Arabidopsis thaliana: one gene and its partner. The protein of the gene in region 1 binds, or shares a complex with, the protein of each later gene. Each region holds a gene or a part of one and is shown in the gene's direction. Other genes may lie near its edges.

What was found. The genes of interacting proteins can lie anywhere in the genome.
Region 2: the proteins of PIL2 (region 1) and PHYB are in contact, whole or in part, in a cryo-EM structure (PDB 9JLB), measured with the Arabidopsis thaliana proteins. Residues at the interface, in NP_001078329.1 of Arabidopsis thaliana: Leu12 (codon at 2,418), Ser13 (codon at 2,421), Asp14 (codon at 2,424), Gln15 (codon at 2,427), Glu16 (codon at 2,430), Tyr17 (codon at 2,433), Met18 (codon at 2,436), Glu19 (codon at 2,439), Leu20 (codon at 2,442), Val21 (codon at 2,445), Phe22 (codon at 2,448), Ile27 (codon at 2,463), Ala29 (codon at 2,469), Gln32 (codon at 2,478), Arg33 (codon at 2,481), Gln41 (codon at 2,505), Arg42 (codon at 2,508), Ile46 (codon at 2,520), Leu49 (codon at 2,529), Tyr50 (codon at 2,532), Ala52 (codon at 2,538), Glu53 (codon at 2,541), Tyr54 (codon at 2,544), Asn55 (codon at 2,547), Phe58 (codon at 2,556), Met59 (codon at 2,559); in NP_179469.1 of Arabidopsis thaliana: Tyr61 (codon at 2,011), Glu98 (codon at 2,122), Ile101 (codon at 2,131), Thr102 (codon at 2,134), Leu105 (codon at 2,143), Gln109 (codon at 2,155), Arg110 (codon at 2,158), Glu125 (codon at 2,203), Ser170 (codon at 2,338), Ile173 (codon at 2,347), Leu174 (codon at 2,350), Arg177 (codon at 2,359), Ala181 (codon at 2,371), Arg182 (codon at 2,374), Glu183 (codon at 2,377), Ile184 (codon at 2,380), Thr185 (codon at 2,383), Leu186 (codon at 2,386), Leu187 (codon at 2,389), Asn188 (codon at 2,392), His206 (codon at 2,446), Arg207 (codon at 2,449), Ile208 (codon at 2,452), Asp209 (codon at 2,455), Gly211 (codon at 2,461), Ala311 (codon at 2,761), Phe314 (codon at 2,770), Lys317 (codon at 2,779), Gln318 (codon at 2,782), Asn319 (codon at 2,785).

What each region holds. Positions count from the first base shown.
Region 1 is NC_003074.8:22,987,816-22,992,930, reverse strand, and holds PIL2 (phytochrome interacting factor 3-like 2), read left to right. Parts: upstream 1-2,221; 5' UTR 2,222-2,384; coding exon 2,385-2,870; exon of another isoform or gene 2,871-2,953; coding exon 2,954-3,061; intron 3,062-3,139; coding exon 3,140-3,205; intron 3,206-3,307; coding exon 3,308-3,373; intron 3,374-3,446; exon of another isoform or gene 3,447-3,468; coding exon 3,469-3,834; 3' UTR 3,835-4,384; downstream 4,385-5,115. Other genes in the region: AT3G62080 (SNF7 family protein), read right to left, coding at 4,414-4,652, 4,741-4,870, 4,973-5,115. UniProt on the Arabidopsis thaliana protein: Transcription factor.
Region 2 is NC_003071.7:8,138,249-8,145,041, forward strand, and holds PHYB (phytochrome B), read left to right. Parts: upstream 1-1,514; 5' UTR 1,515-1,830; coding exon 1,831-3,994; intron 3,995-4,082; coding exon 4,083-4,890; intron 4,891-4,980; coding exon 4,981-5,271; coding exon of another isoform or gene 5,272-5,401; exon of another isoform or gene 5,402-5,647; coding exon 5,648-5,903; 3' UTR 5,904-6,213; downstream 6,214-6,793. Other genes in the region: XTH21 (xyloglucan endotransglucosylase/hydrolase 21), read left to right, coding at 6,699-6,793. UniProt on the Arabidopsis thaliana protein: Regulatory photoreceptor which exists in two forms that are reversibly interconvertible by light: the Pr form that absorbs maximally in the red region of the spectrum and the Pfr form that absorbs maximally in the far-red region.

The sequences.
Region 1 (5,115 bases):
GCAAGACCAATTATTATATCTCTTTTTGACATAAACCAATTATTATATCTTCAAAATTAGAGGTTTTTGACCACCACTCTGATATATTTTTGGCTTCGAAACCAACCAACAAAAAACATAGCGGTTTAAAAATTAAAAAACCGTCTTTATCATAAACCAAACCATAAAATGCAGTGATTCACCTTCTAATCTTCTGTTTGACGTACAAGTGATAAATGACTTCAAAGCTACTCCCGTTTCTTTACGAGTGATTTCATTTCATCATAAAGAAATATGTGTTGCTCTTGTTCTTAGAAAATTATTTCTCCCAGTCCTTTACAATAATGTAGATTTCTTCTGTTAGTATGATAAATATATATATGATTGAATGTATATATTTAACATGTTTTACGAAAAAAGTCAGTGTATACTATTTATGGGAAAAGTATCACTAACTTCGAAATATAGTTGATATTTGTTAGTTTTATGTCTACTTTAATTTAAGTCATTTAATCAAAAATTATAATGTTGAGGTCCATAAACTTTAAAAGTCCCAATAATGTGTAATTAAGTTTTAGAAAGAATACTTATTGGATTTTCATCTATGACTCTATTTAGAAAAGTTGTGTCTACAGTGACTAGCTGCAAAAAAAAGGTTATGTATAGTATCGATTGCCCCTTAAAACGGAGTGAAAACATGTTTTCTTGAATCAAATCCAAAGTTTACAAAATAGAGGAAGATTTAGATATGGTCTCTAAAGTCTAAAGTAGTCTAGGACTAGGAGGGCAATCTTGTGAGGTATTAGTGATGTTCTTTTCATGTATTTAATATATAAATGTAAGTTTGCTGAAGCTTAATACATTAATGAATATGAATGCATGAAAACTCGATAAAGCAAGATACGTGCGTGTTACTACTATTTGAGGTTTCGTTCGTGCCTTTTAGAATAGACCTATTGATACTATATTTTATTTCAATAATTTGGGTTAGATTACGCGCTAACCCCGTGATTGATTTGTTTTTTTTTTGTCTTTAATAATAATAATTACCGAATCTTAAAACATGATAATGATACGTGTGGGTGTGTGACATTATGTTCTCTTTTAAGATTCTATATGACGTCATTTCCCTTCCAAATGACATTTGATTTGCCCTTGTGCCGATGCATAGTTTTAGGCTCTATCTCTTTCCTTTTTTCGTGATGACAAGGTTAAAGCCTTATAACCTCTTGGCCCAATAAATTTGTATTTGTATATGTAATATGTTAGATCAAAATGTTTTACTGTGCAATGTTATTTTACTTGGTTTAATATTTCAAACGACAATGTTACCCTGAAATAGTATAATAGCTAGAGATCCCTACTTGTAAATATCAAAACATTGAAAACTATTTTTCTGAATCATTTGGTGTAACCGGCTAAGTTATATTATTGGTCGGACACCAAATATTATAGAATAGAAAAATAAAATAAAATAAAAGGATGCATGAGTGAGTCATTTGTTATGGAAGAGTAGTGAGGACAAGTGTCTAATACACTGCATACGGGTACCCCCAAAAAAAAAAACACAAAGGTACATTGAATCACGTGGCTTTCACGTGAACTTCACGCTCTGCTTTTTTTACTTCTTCCATTGTTTGGTCTACTTTTTCCTTTCAAGAGAATGCTGCCAAACACCTTGTAGGTCCTATCAATATTTTTTGTGGGCCCAGCCCATTCCTTATTGTTCTTGTACTGTGAATGTTCTTCCCACAACCACGTGGGCTTTTTGGCCCGTTCTCTCTCTCTCTCCTCCCCAACACTTTTTTTTTTGTCGTACTATCGGTTTGTGAAACAGAGATTTGTTGTTTCACTGATGTTTACAAAAGATATTTGTCTATGTTGTGGCAATCTGATATTCTGACGGATGTCTATTATTATATTTTTAAGTCCTTTCTATTTGTATTTTATGTGATTTCGTTTTTGGAAACGACATCCCTTGCATTTAAATAATCTTTTTATAATTTATAAAGGCACAATAAAGTATCAAAAAAAAAATCTCAAAGATGCTAAGATTCGACTTATATAAACAGTGGTACTGTACAACAGGAAATTCATTGCACCTGAAAAAATAATTAAAAACAGGTGAAAGAGATAATAATACCAAAAAAATGAAAAGGAAAGAAAAGCGAAATATAAAATAAGAGCAAAAGAGTCTGAAGTTGATCAACAAAAGAAAGATTAGCTTTCACTTACTTCCACTGAAGAAATAACTTTTGGAACATTCAACAAGACAACAAAATATGACTTCCCCATCATCCACCTTCAGACCAAATTAAGTTCTTCAATCTTGTTTCCCTGTTTCACACACATATATATATATATATATATATATATATATATATGTGTGTGTTTGTGTGCAGACGATGATGTTCTTACCAACCGATTATTGTTGCAGGTTAAGCGATCAAGAGTATATGGAGCTTGTGTTTGAGAATGGCCAGATTCTTGCAAAGGGCCAAAGATCCAACGTTTCTCTGCATAATCAACGTACCAAATCGATCATGGATTTGTATGAGGCAGAGTATAACGAGGATTTCATGAAGAGTATCATCCATGGTGGTGGTGGTGCCATCACAAATCTCGGGGACACGCAGGTTGTTCCACAAAGTCATGTTGCTGCTGCCCATGAAACAAACATGTTGGAAAGCAATAAACATGTTGACGATTCTGAGACTTTGAAAGCTTCTTCATCAAAGAGGATGATGGTTGATTATCATAACCGAAAGAAGATCAAGTTTATACCTCCTGATGAGCAATCCGTGGTTGCTGATAGGTCGTTCAAATTGGGCTTTGACACTTCCTCCGTAGGTTTCACTGAAGACAGTGAAGGATCGATGTATCTAAGCAGTGTAAGAGGGATTGATTCACAATTTTTTTGGTTTGGTCTATCTTGTTAGGTTCTTGTCTGAAGACAGGTTTTGTCTCAACGCAGAGTCTAGATGACGAGTCAGATGATGCGAGGCCACAAGTTCCTGCAAGAACAAGAAAAGCTTTGGTCAAAAGAAAACGAAATGCAGAAGCGTATAATTCACCTGAGAGAGTAAGTAATCTCTTTAAGATACAAAGCATAGTGAACACTGAATCTGATACAACGGTATAATGGTATTGTGCAACACAGAATCAAAGAAATGATATCAACAAGAAAATGCGTACTTTGCAAAATCTACTACCTAACTCTCACAAGGTTTATCATAAGAACCAACTTTTTCATTTATTTCGAAAGAGATCAAAAGCTTTTTAAAGAGTCTATACTTACATTTCCCTAAATACTCAATATTGTCCATAGGACGACAACGAATCGATGTTGGATGAAGCAATCAATTATATGACAAACCTTCAACTTCAAGTTCAGGTATAATAAACAAATACTTCAAACACTTTTTCACATCAAAAACAGATTCAATCTAAAGATTCTTTGTCCTAACCTGTATAAATGTTGGATGGTAGATGATGACGATGGGTAACAGATTTGTTACACCATCAATGATGATGCCTTTGGGGCCGAACTACTCTCAGATGGGTCTAGCAATGGGTGTGGGAATGCAAATGGGCGAACAACAGTTTCTGCCTGCACATGTTCTAGGAGCTGGCTTGCCTGGGATTAATGATTCAGCAGATATGCTAAGGTTTCTTAACCATCCTGGACTAATGCCAATGCAAAACTCTGCACCTTTCATTCCAACGGAAAATTGTTCCCCACAATCTGTCCCTCCATCGTGCGCTGCTTTCCCTAACCAAATACCAAATCCCAACTCTTTGTCAAATTTAGATGGTGCAACCTTACACAAGAAATCAAGGAAAACTAACAGATGAAGGAATTCTCCCTGGTAAAAATCTGGAAACCCGTGAGCAGATGAAGTAAACAGTGATGATTGTTACCTGCGGATTCACGGTCTTCTTCTTCATGAGTTAGTCGTGAGAACACTAGAGCCATCTCAAGGTGAACCATACAGATCCACAAAAGCACTACAACGACATCAGAACAACTACCATGGAAGGATCTCCTCAAGGTTCTCTTTTTTAGTGCCGGCTTTTCTAGTTCATGTAACATATAGATATAGGAAAGGAGCTATAATAATAACAATAATAATCACGAGTACTAGTTTCCTTCGAATGAATAAGACTGCATGTTAGAAACATTAATAAATTATCGAACACTATCGGAGTGATAAAAATCATAACTCGACGTTCCTCTCTGTTTATGAAACAAGCTGCTGACTTTATACAATGGAGTGAAGCTATTGTTTCTAGAATCCAAACAAGAGGCATAGCATACAAATACTCAACTCACTTTACCCGGTTCTATTCTATTTATATGATACTGAGTGTATTTCTTCACTAAGAACAACAGGAAGAGAAGAGATCGCACCGCAATGAAGATGCATTGTTCAGCTATGCTGCTTCAAGAATCTTTTTTCCGCTATCTTTCATCTGAGCTGGCTCAGTAGCTTGCTCTTCCAATGTTTGTTTCGTCTTGCCAAGTTTAAGCTCTGAGAACATCTCAGTCAGTGAATCTGCAGTATCTGAAGTCGCTGGTAGGACCTGAGAACTTTCACTTTCAAGGTCCATCTCTAGTTCCAGTAATTCTTCTTCGATATCTTCATCATCAATATCTGGATATGGAGCTGATTCTGCCGCATTAACAGAAAAAATCTAGCTAAACACAAAAGTTGATGAAGTAATCGTGTATGTATGTTTAAACGACAAAACACCACTTACCGAGAGCTTTTTCGACTTGCTTCTGTGATTCAATAGTTTCCTCAAGTTCTTCTAGATAGTCATGAACATCATCTGCACTGATCTTGATGTCCTTCATAACCCTAGCTCCAGTTTTAATTGCTTCTGAGACCTGCCAAACACACATAGATACTTCTAAAATCCATAATTGATACTATTACATAGACCCAAACATGGTCGTTCGACCTATGGGGTTTCTCAGTGTTTGAAGTACCATTTTCGTAGATTCGGAATCCGCTATAGTGTTCAACACTTCTTCTACTCTGTTCAGAAGTGACGTGCATTTTTCTCTGCTCTCAGTCACCACCTTCAATTCCCTTGCATGCCTTAGAGCAACTTTCCTGTGTCCAGACTTTA
Region 2 (6,793 bases), on another chromosome or scaffold:
GATTTATTAGTATGGGAGGGCTTAGTTTTGGGCTTTAAAGTATGCCCCAATGCCTAATAATGTCTAGCTAGTTCTTCGTTATACTAAAGAACGAATTTTGGAAATTCTTGAATTACGATTGTACCCTTATATTAATTTCATCTTTTGTCTTATTCTTATTTATGCAAAAGTTATGCAAAAGTTTTAAGAAATTAGCAGCCAAGCCTAAAGAATCATTGAGAGTTTATAAGGGTGATTTGGTAATTGAGTAGTTTATTAGCTAATTTGATTTCAGTGGCACGTGGTAAATTACTGGTGGTTTAAAACTATTGTACGTGGACGATTCTTAGCCAACGAACTAGTACACTCTAGTGCGAACAGGTACATGATTAAATTCGTGGACATCCAATCATATCTCGTCCAAGATAAGACCAAAACATATGAGGTCATTACTCACTAATAAACATTTAAACTTTTGTTTTGTCAACGAATAGTGTGTTTTTCTTTTGTCATTCCAATTTTTTTCTGTTTTCTTTTCACTATTCACTTTTGGTCCATAATATTTTATGGGTATATAAGATAATCGTTTTTGTCTTCATACATGGTAACATGGATGTTTATATATGTAATAGTGTTAAAAAGAAAAAGTGGTCGGTTATACTTAACTTATTATGATAGAGCTTTGAAAACAAACAACACGAGATGGAGAAATTAGTCATTCAACAAAAGAAAAGGACGAACGCAGTGACTTAACATGAAACTGTGAGCGGCCCAAAATCATTTATGTAATGGACCCTTAACTTTTCATGCACACGATTTTTCTCATTTATATGTTTTTCTGCTCTCTTTTTTTCCTCTTTATCATTACTTTAATTTATTTTATGTTCTTTTTTCGAAGCACCATAATTGTATGCTTTCACCAAATAATCCAAATTTAGAATCATTAATATGTCAAAAAAGAATTGCATATATTCAATAAAACGTAATGCTAAGTAGTACAATGCATGTATTATACAAAATGTAATGATATAGATCCAACGTATATATCAAAGTGGACCAAAATATATCTTATGTATTAGACGAGTTTACTATGCAAAATTTATGATTCTATTCCGCATGGAGCGTGCTAATACTACTTCGAACCCCTTTGAGACCAATATGTGATTCTATATTCTATCTAGTACAAATTATGAGAAGTATATACGTACGATGAGAGTATAAAACATTTCAATATTTGTATAGAGAGGACACCACTTGGTTGACTTGACCCACGATAAGATATTGAAGAAACCAAACTTGTATAGTACGAATTCGAAATCGTAATTGATGATGCGATTCGACAAGTCCAGGGGCTCCCTCCCACGCGCAATGGGCCCAGCAACCACGTGTGGCCACTAGAGAGAATAAACCATTAGCCCACGTGATCTTGGGCCCAATCAATCTCTCCCTCACATTAAACGACAAAACAAAAGCTCTTCTGGGTTAAATTGATAAATATCAAAACTTTAAAGGTAATTTGCTAAAATCGCCACACAAAAAAAGTCGCAGAAAATATATGAGGAAACAAAAAGCGAAGACGACAAAAAAAAAAAAAACTCTGATTTTTTTTTGTTATCTCTCTCTATCTGAGAGGCACACATTTTGCTTCGTCTTCTTCAATTTATTTTATTGGTTTCTCCACTTATCTCCGATCTCAATTCTCCCCATTTTCTTCTTCCTCAAGTTCAAAATTCTTGAGAATTTAGCTCTACCAGAATTCGTCTCCGATAACTAGTGGATGATGATTCACCCTAAATCCTTCCTTGTCTCAAGGTAATTCTGAGAAATTTCTCAAATTCAAAATCAAACGGCATGGTTTCCGGAGTCGGGGGTAGTGGCGGTGGCCGTGGCGGTGGCCGTGGCGGAGAAGAAGAACCGTCGTCAAGTCACACTCCTAATAACCGAAGAGGAGGAGAACAAGCTCAATCGTCGGGAACGAAATCTCTCAGACCAAGAAGCAACACTGAATCAATGAGCAAAGCAATTCAACAGTACACCGTCGACGCAAGACTCCACGCCGTTTTCGAACAATCCGGCGAATCAGGGAAATCATTCGACTACTCACAATCACTCAAAACGACGACGTACGGTTCCTCTGTACCTGAGCAACAGATCACAGCTTATCTCTCTCGAATCCAGCGAGGTGGTTACATTCAGCCTTTCGGATGTATGATCGCCGTCGATGAATCCAGTTTCCGGATCATCGGTTACAGTGAAAACGCCAGAGAAATGTTAGGGATTATGCCTCAATCTGTTCCTACTCTTGAGAAACCTGAGATTCTAGCTATGGGAACTGATGTGAGATCTTTGTTCACTTCTTCGAGCTCGATTCTACTCGAGCGTGCTTTCGTTGCTCGAGAGATTACCTTGTTAAATCCGGTTTGGATCCATTCCAAGAATACTGGTAAACCGTTTTACGCCATTCTTCATAGGATTGATGTTGGTGTTGTTATTGATTTAGAGCCAGCTAGAACTGAAGATCCTGCGCTTTCTATTGCTGGTGCTGTTCAATCGCAGAAACTCGCGGTTCGTGCGATTTCTCAGTTACAGGCTCTTCCTGGTGGAGATATTAAGCTTTTGTGTGACACTGTCGTGGAAAGTGTGAGGGACTTGACTGGTTATGATCGTGTTATGGTTTATAAGTTTCATGAAGATGAGCATGGAGAAGTTGTAGCTGAGAGTAAACGAGATGATTTAGAGCCTTATATTGGACTGCATTATCCTGCTACTGATATTCCTCAAGCGTCAAGGTTCTTGTTTAAGCAGAACCGTGTCCGAATGATAGTAGATTGCAATGCCACACCTGTTCTTGTGGTCCAGGACGATAGGCTAACTCAGTCTATGTGCTTGGTTGGTTCTACTCTTAGGGCTCCTCATGGTTGTCACTCTCAGTATATGGCTAACATGGGATCTATTGCGTCTTTAGCAATGGCGGTTATAATCAATGGAAATGAAGATGATGGGAGCAATGTAGCTAGTGGAAGAAGCTCGATGAGGCTTTGGGGTTTGGTTGTTTGCCATCACACTTCTTCTCGCTGCATACCGTTTCCGCTAAGGTATGCTTGTGAGTTTTTGATGCAGGCTTTCGGTTTACAGTTAAACATGGAATTGCAGTTAGCTTTGCAAATGTCAGAGAAACGCGTTTTGAGAACGCAGACACTGTTATGTGATATGCTTCTGCGTGACTCGCCTGCTGGAATTGTTACACAGAGTCCCAGTATCATGGACTTAGTGAAATGTGACGGTGCAGCATTTCTTTACCACGGGAAGTATTACCCGTTGGGTGTTGCTCCTAGTGAAGTTCAGATAAAAGATGTTGTGGAGTGGTTGCTTGCGAATCATGCGGATTCAACCGGATTAAGCACTGATAGTTTAGGCGATGCGGGGTATCCCGGTGCAGCTGCGTTAGGGGATGCTGTGTGCGGTATGGCAGTTGCATATATCACAAAAAGAGACTTTCTTTTTTGGTTTCGATCTCACACTGCGAAAGAAATCAAATGGGGAGGCGCTAAGCATCATCCGGAGGATAAAGATGATGGGCAACGAATGCATCCTCGTTCGTCCTTTCAGGCTTTTCTTGAAGTTGTTAAGAGCCGGAGTCAGCCATGGGAAACTGCGGAAATGGATGCGATTCACTCGCTCCAGCTTATTCTGAGAGACTCTTTTAAAGAATCTGAGGCGGCTATGAACTCTAAAGTTGTGGATGGTGTGGTTCAGCCATGTAGGGATATGGCGGGGGAACAGGGGATTGATGAGTTAGGTGCAGTTGCAAGAGAGATGGTTAGGCTCATTGAGACTGCAACTGTTCCTATATTCGCTGTGGATGCCGGAGGCTGCATCAATGGATGGAACGCTAAGATTGCAGAGTTGACAGGTCTCTCAGTTGAAGAAGCTATGGGGAAGTCTCTGGTTTCTGATTTAATATACAAAGAGAATGAAGCAACTGTCAATAAGCTTCTTTCTCGTGCTTTGAGAGGTATATTCAGTTCTTCAGCTATGTTGTATCTGCGGTGTATATACCAATTCGCGGGTATTTGATTATTTTGTTGCATTTGGCAATGCAGGGGACGAGGAAAAGAATGTGGAGGTTAAGCTGAAAACTTTCAGCCCCGAACTACAAGGGAAAGCAGTTTTTGTGGTTGTGAATGCTTGTTCCAGCAAGGACTACTTGAACAACATTGTCGGCGTTTGTTTTGTTGGACAAGACGTTACTAGTCAGAAAATCGTAATGGATAAGTTCATCAACATACAAGGAGATTACAAGGCTATTGTACATAGCCCAAACCCTCTAATCCCGCCAATTTTTGCTGCTGACGAGAACACGTGCTGCCTGGAATGGAACATGGCGATGGAAAAGCTTACGGGTTGGTCTCGCAGTGAAGTGATTGGGAAAATGATTGTCGGGGAAGTGTTTGGGAGCTGTTGCATGCTAAAGGGTCCTGATGCTTTAACCAAGTTCATGATTGTATTGCATAATGCGATTGGTGGCCAAGATACGGATAAGTTCCCTTTCCCATTCTTTGACCGCAATGGGAAGTTTGTTCAGGCTCTATTGACTGCAAACAAGCGGGTTAGCCTCGAGGGAAAGGTTATTGGGGCTTTCTGTTTCTTGCAAATCCCGAGCCCTGAGCTGCAGCAAGCTTTAGCAGTCCAACGGAGGCAGGACACAGAGTGTTTCACGAAGGCAAAAGAGTTGGCTTATATTTGTCAGGTGATAAAGAATCCTTTGAGCGGTATGCGTTTCGCAAACTCATTGTTGGAGGCCACAGACTTGAACGAGGACCAGAAGCAGTTACTTGAAACAAGTGTTTCTTGCGAGAAACAGATCTCAAGGATCGTCGGGGACATGGATCTTGAAAGCATTGAAGACGGGTGAGTATAGTTAGAATTTATCTAGAAGCTAGTTTTGCTTACTTCACAAAATGTGACCAAATCCCAAATTTTGTTTTTTTCATTGATCAGTTCATTTGTGCTAAAGAGGGAAGAGTTTTTCCTTGGAAGTGTCATAAACGCGATTGTAAGTCAAGCGATGTTCTTATTAAGGGACAGAGGTCTTCAGCTGATCCGTGACATTCCCGAAGAGATCAAATCAATAGAGGTTTTTGGAGACCAGATAAGGATTCAACAGCTCCTGGCTGAGTTTCTGCTGAGTATAATCCGGTATGCACCATCTCAAGAGTGGGTGGAGATCCATTTAAGCCAACTTTCAAAGCAAATGGCTGATGGATTCGCCGCCATCCGCACAGAATTCAGGTACATTTCATTGTTCCCGCTGTTGTCTCCACATATCCATAACCAAAATTATGCAATCCGGTTTTTTTGGTTCCTTATTTTGTACATAAAGAAAATGAATTTGGTTTGGTTAATTACGAATTTGATTTAGGCGTTTAAAGAATTTGAGGTTTTAACCAATTCACTATTTGTTTTGGTTATTGTTTAGTTGGAACCTAGATTAGTTTGATTTTTGTATTCGGTTTAGTCGACTTGGGAACTTTTAGACACATCCATAGGCCTAGAATTAGCAGTCAAGGAATGTAATGTTTTCAAATTGATGAAAACCAGCTCAAAAGTGTAAAACTTGGGTTTCATGTGTTGGTGTCTTTGTTATGTCTTTATTCGTTGTTTGCAGAATGGCGTGTCCAGGTGAAGGTCTGCCTCCAGAGCTAGTCCGAGACATGTTCCATAGCAGCAGGTGGACAAGCCCTGAAGGTTTAGGTCTAAGCGTATGTCGAAAGATTTTAAAGCTAATGAACGGTGAGGTTCAATACATCCGAGAATCAGAACGGTCCTATTTCCTCATCATTCTGGAACTCCCTGTACCTCGAAAGCGACCATTGTCAACTGCTAGTGGAAGTGGTGACATGATGCTGATGATGCCATATTAGTCACACTTCAGTTGGTATGAGAGTTTGTATCATTGTATGAGTGTTTGTGTGTCTAACGACGTCGGAGGAGGATAGAAAGTTTTTTTTTTGTTTCCGGTGAGATTAGTAGAGAAGAGGGAGATTATTTGCGTTCAGCTCAGCTCGCCGGAAAAAAAACGTAACAGTAGTTGTAGAGAATTTCAAGACTTTTGTTTGTGCTGTGTAAATTGACAACTCCGAGAGAAACAAAACAATGAGATAAGAAGAGAGCATATTAATCGATGACCAATCCTTTTAATTTGTTACTCGTTACATCAATTCAAAATTATTATTTGATTGTTAACCATTTATAAATCATATTATATCCAATTAGTCTGTCTACGCAATCAAGAGGTAAAGGCCAATCACATTAATTTTAAAAGATTTATGATGAAATGGTACCGTCCAAAAAGTTGAAATTTTACAAACTCCACTATATATATAAAAAGTGAGATGTTTAAATTAGGCTGGCTAAGCTTAGGATGTAACACATTAACAATAGTTAATTTAATGTTTATGATGTATCGCACTATAGTTTTGATGTGTATGCTCTCCAGGCTGTTTCGTTTTTCACATTACCCACACTAAACTCACCTTTTTTCTTAAAGAAAATTAAAGTAAAGCTCAAAGACTGAAATATTAACAATATATAACTAATCATTAAGGAATCAAAACTCCATTATATATGCTCTATAAATACTCACCAATCAATAGCCTTCTAAATGTCTCAAACCCAATTCAAACCCTTAAACCCACCTAAAACCTTCAAAACTTATAATGGTTTCTAGTACACTTTTGGTTATGTCAATATCTCTCTTTCTTGGTTTAAGCATATTGCTTGTTGTACACGGTAAAGATTTCAACCAAGACAT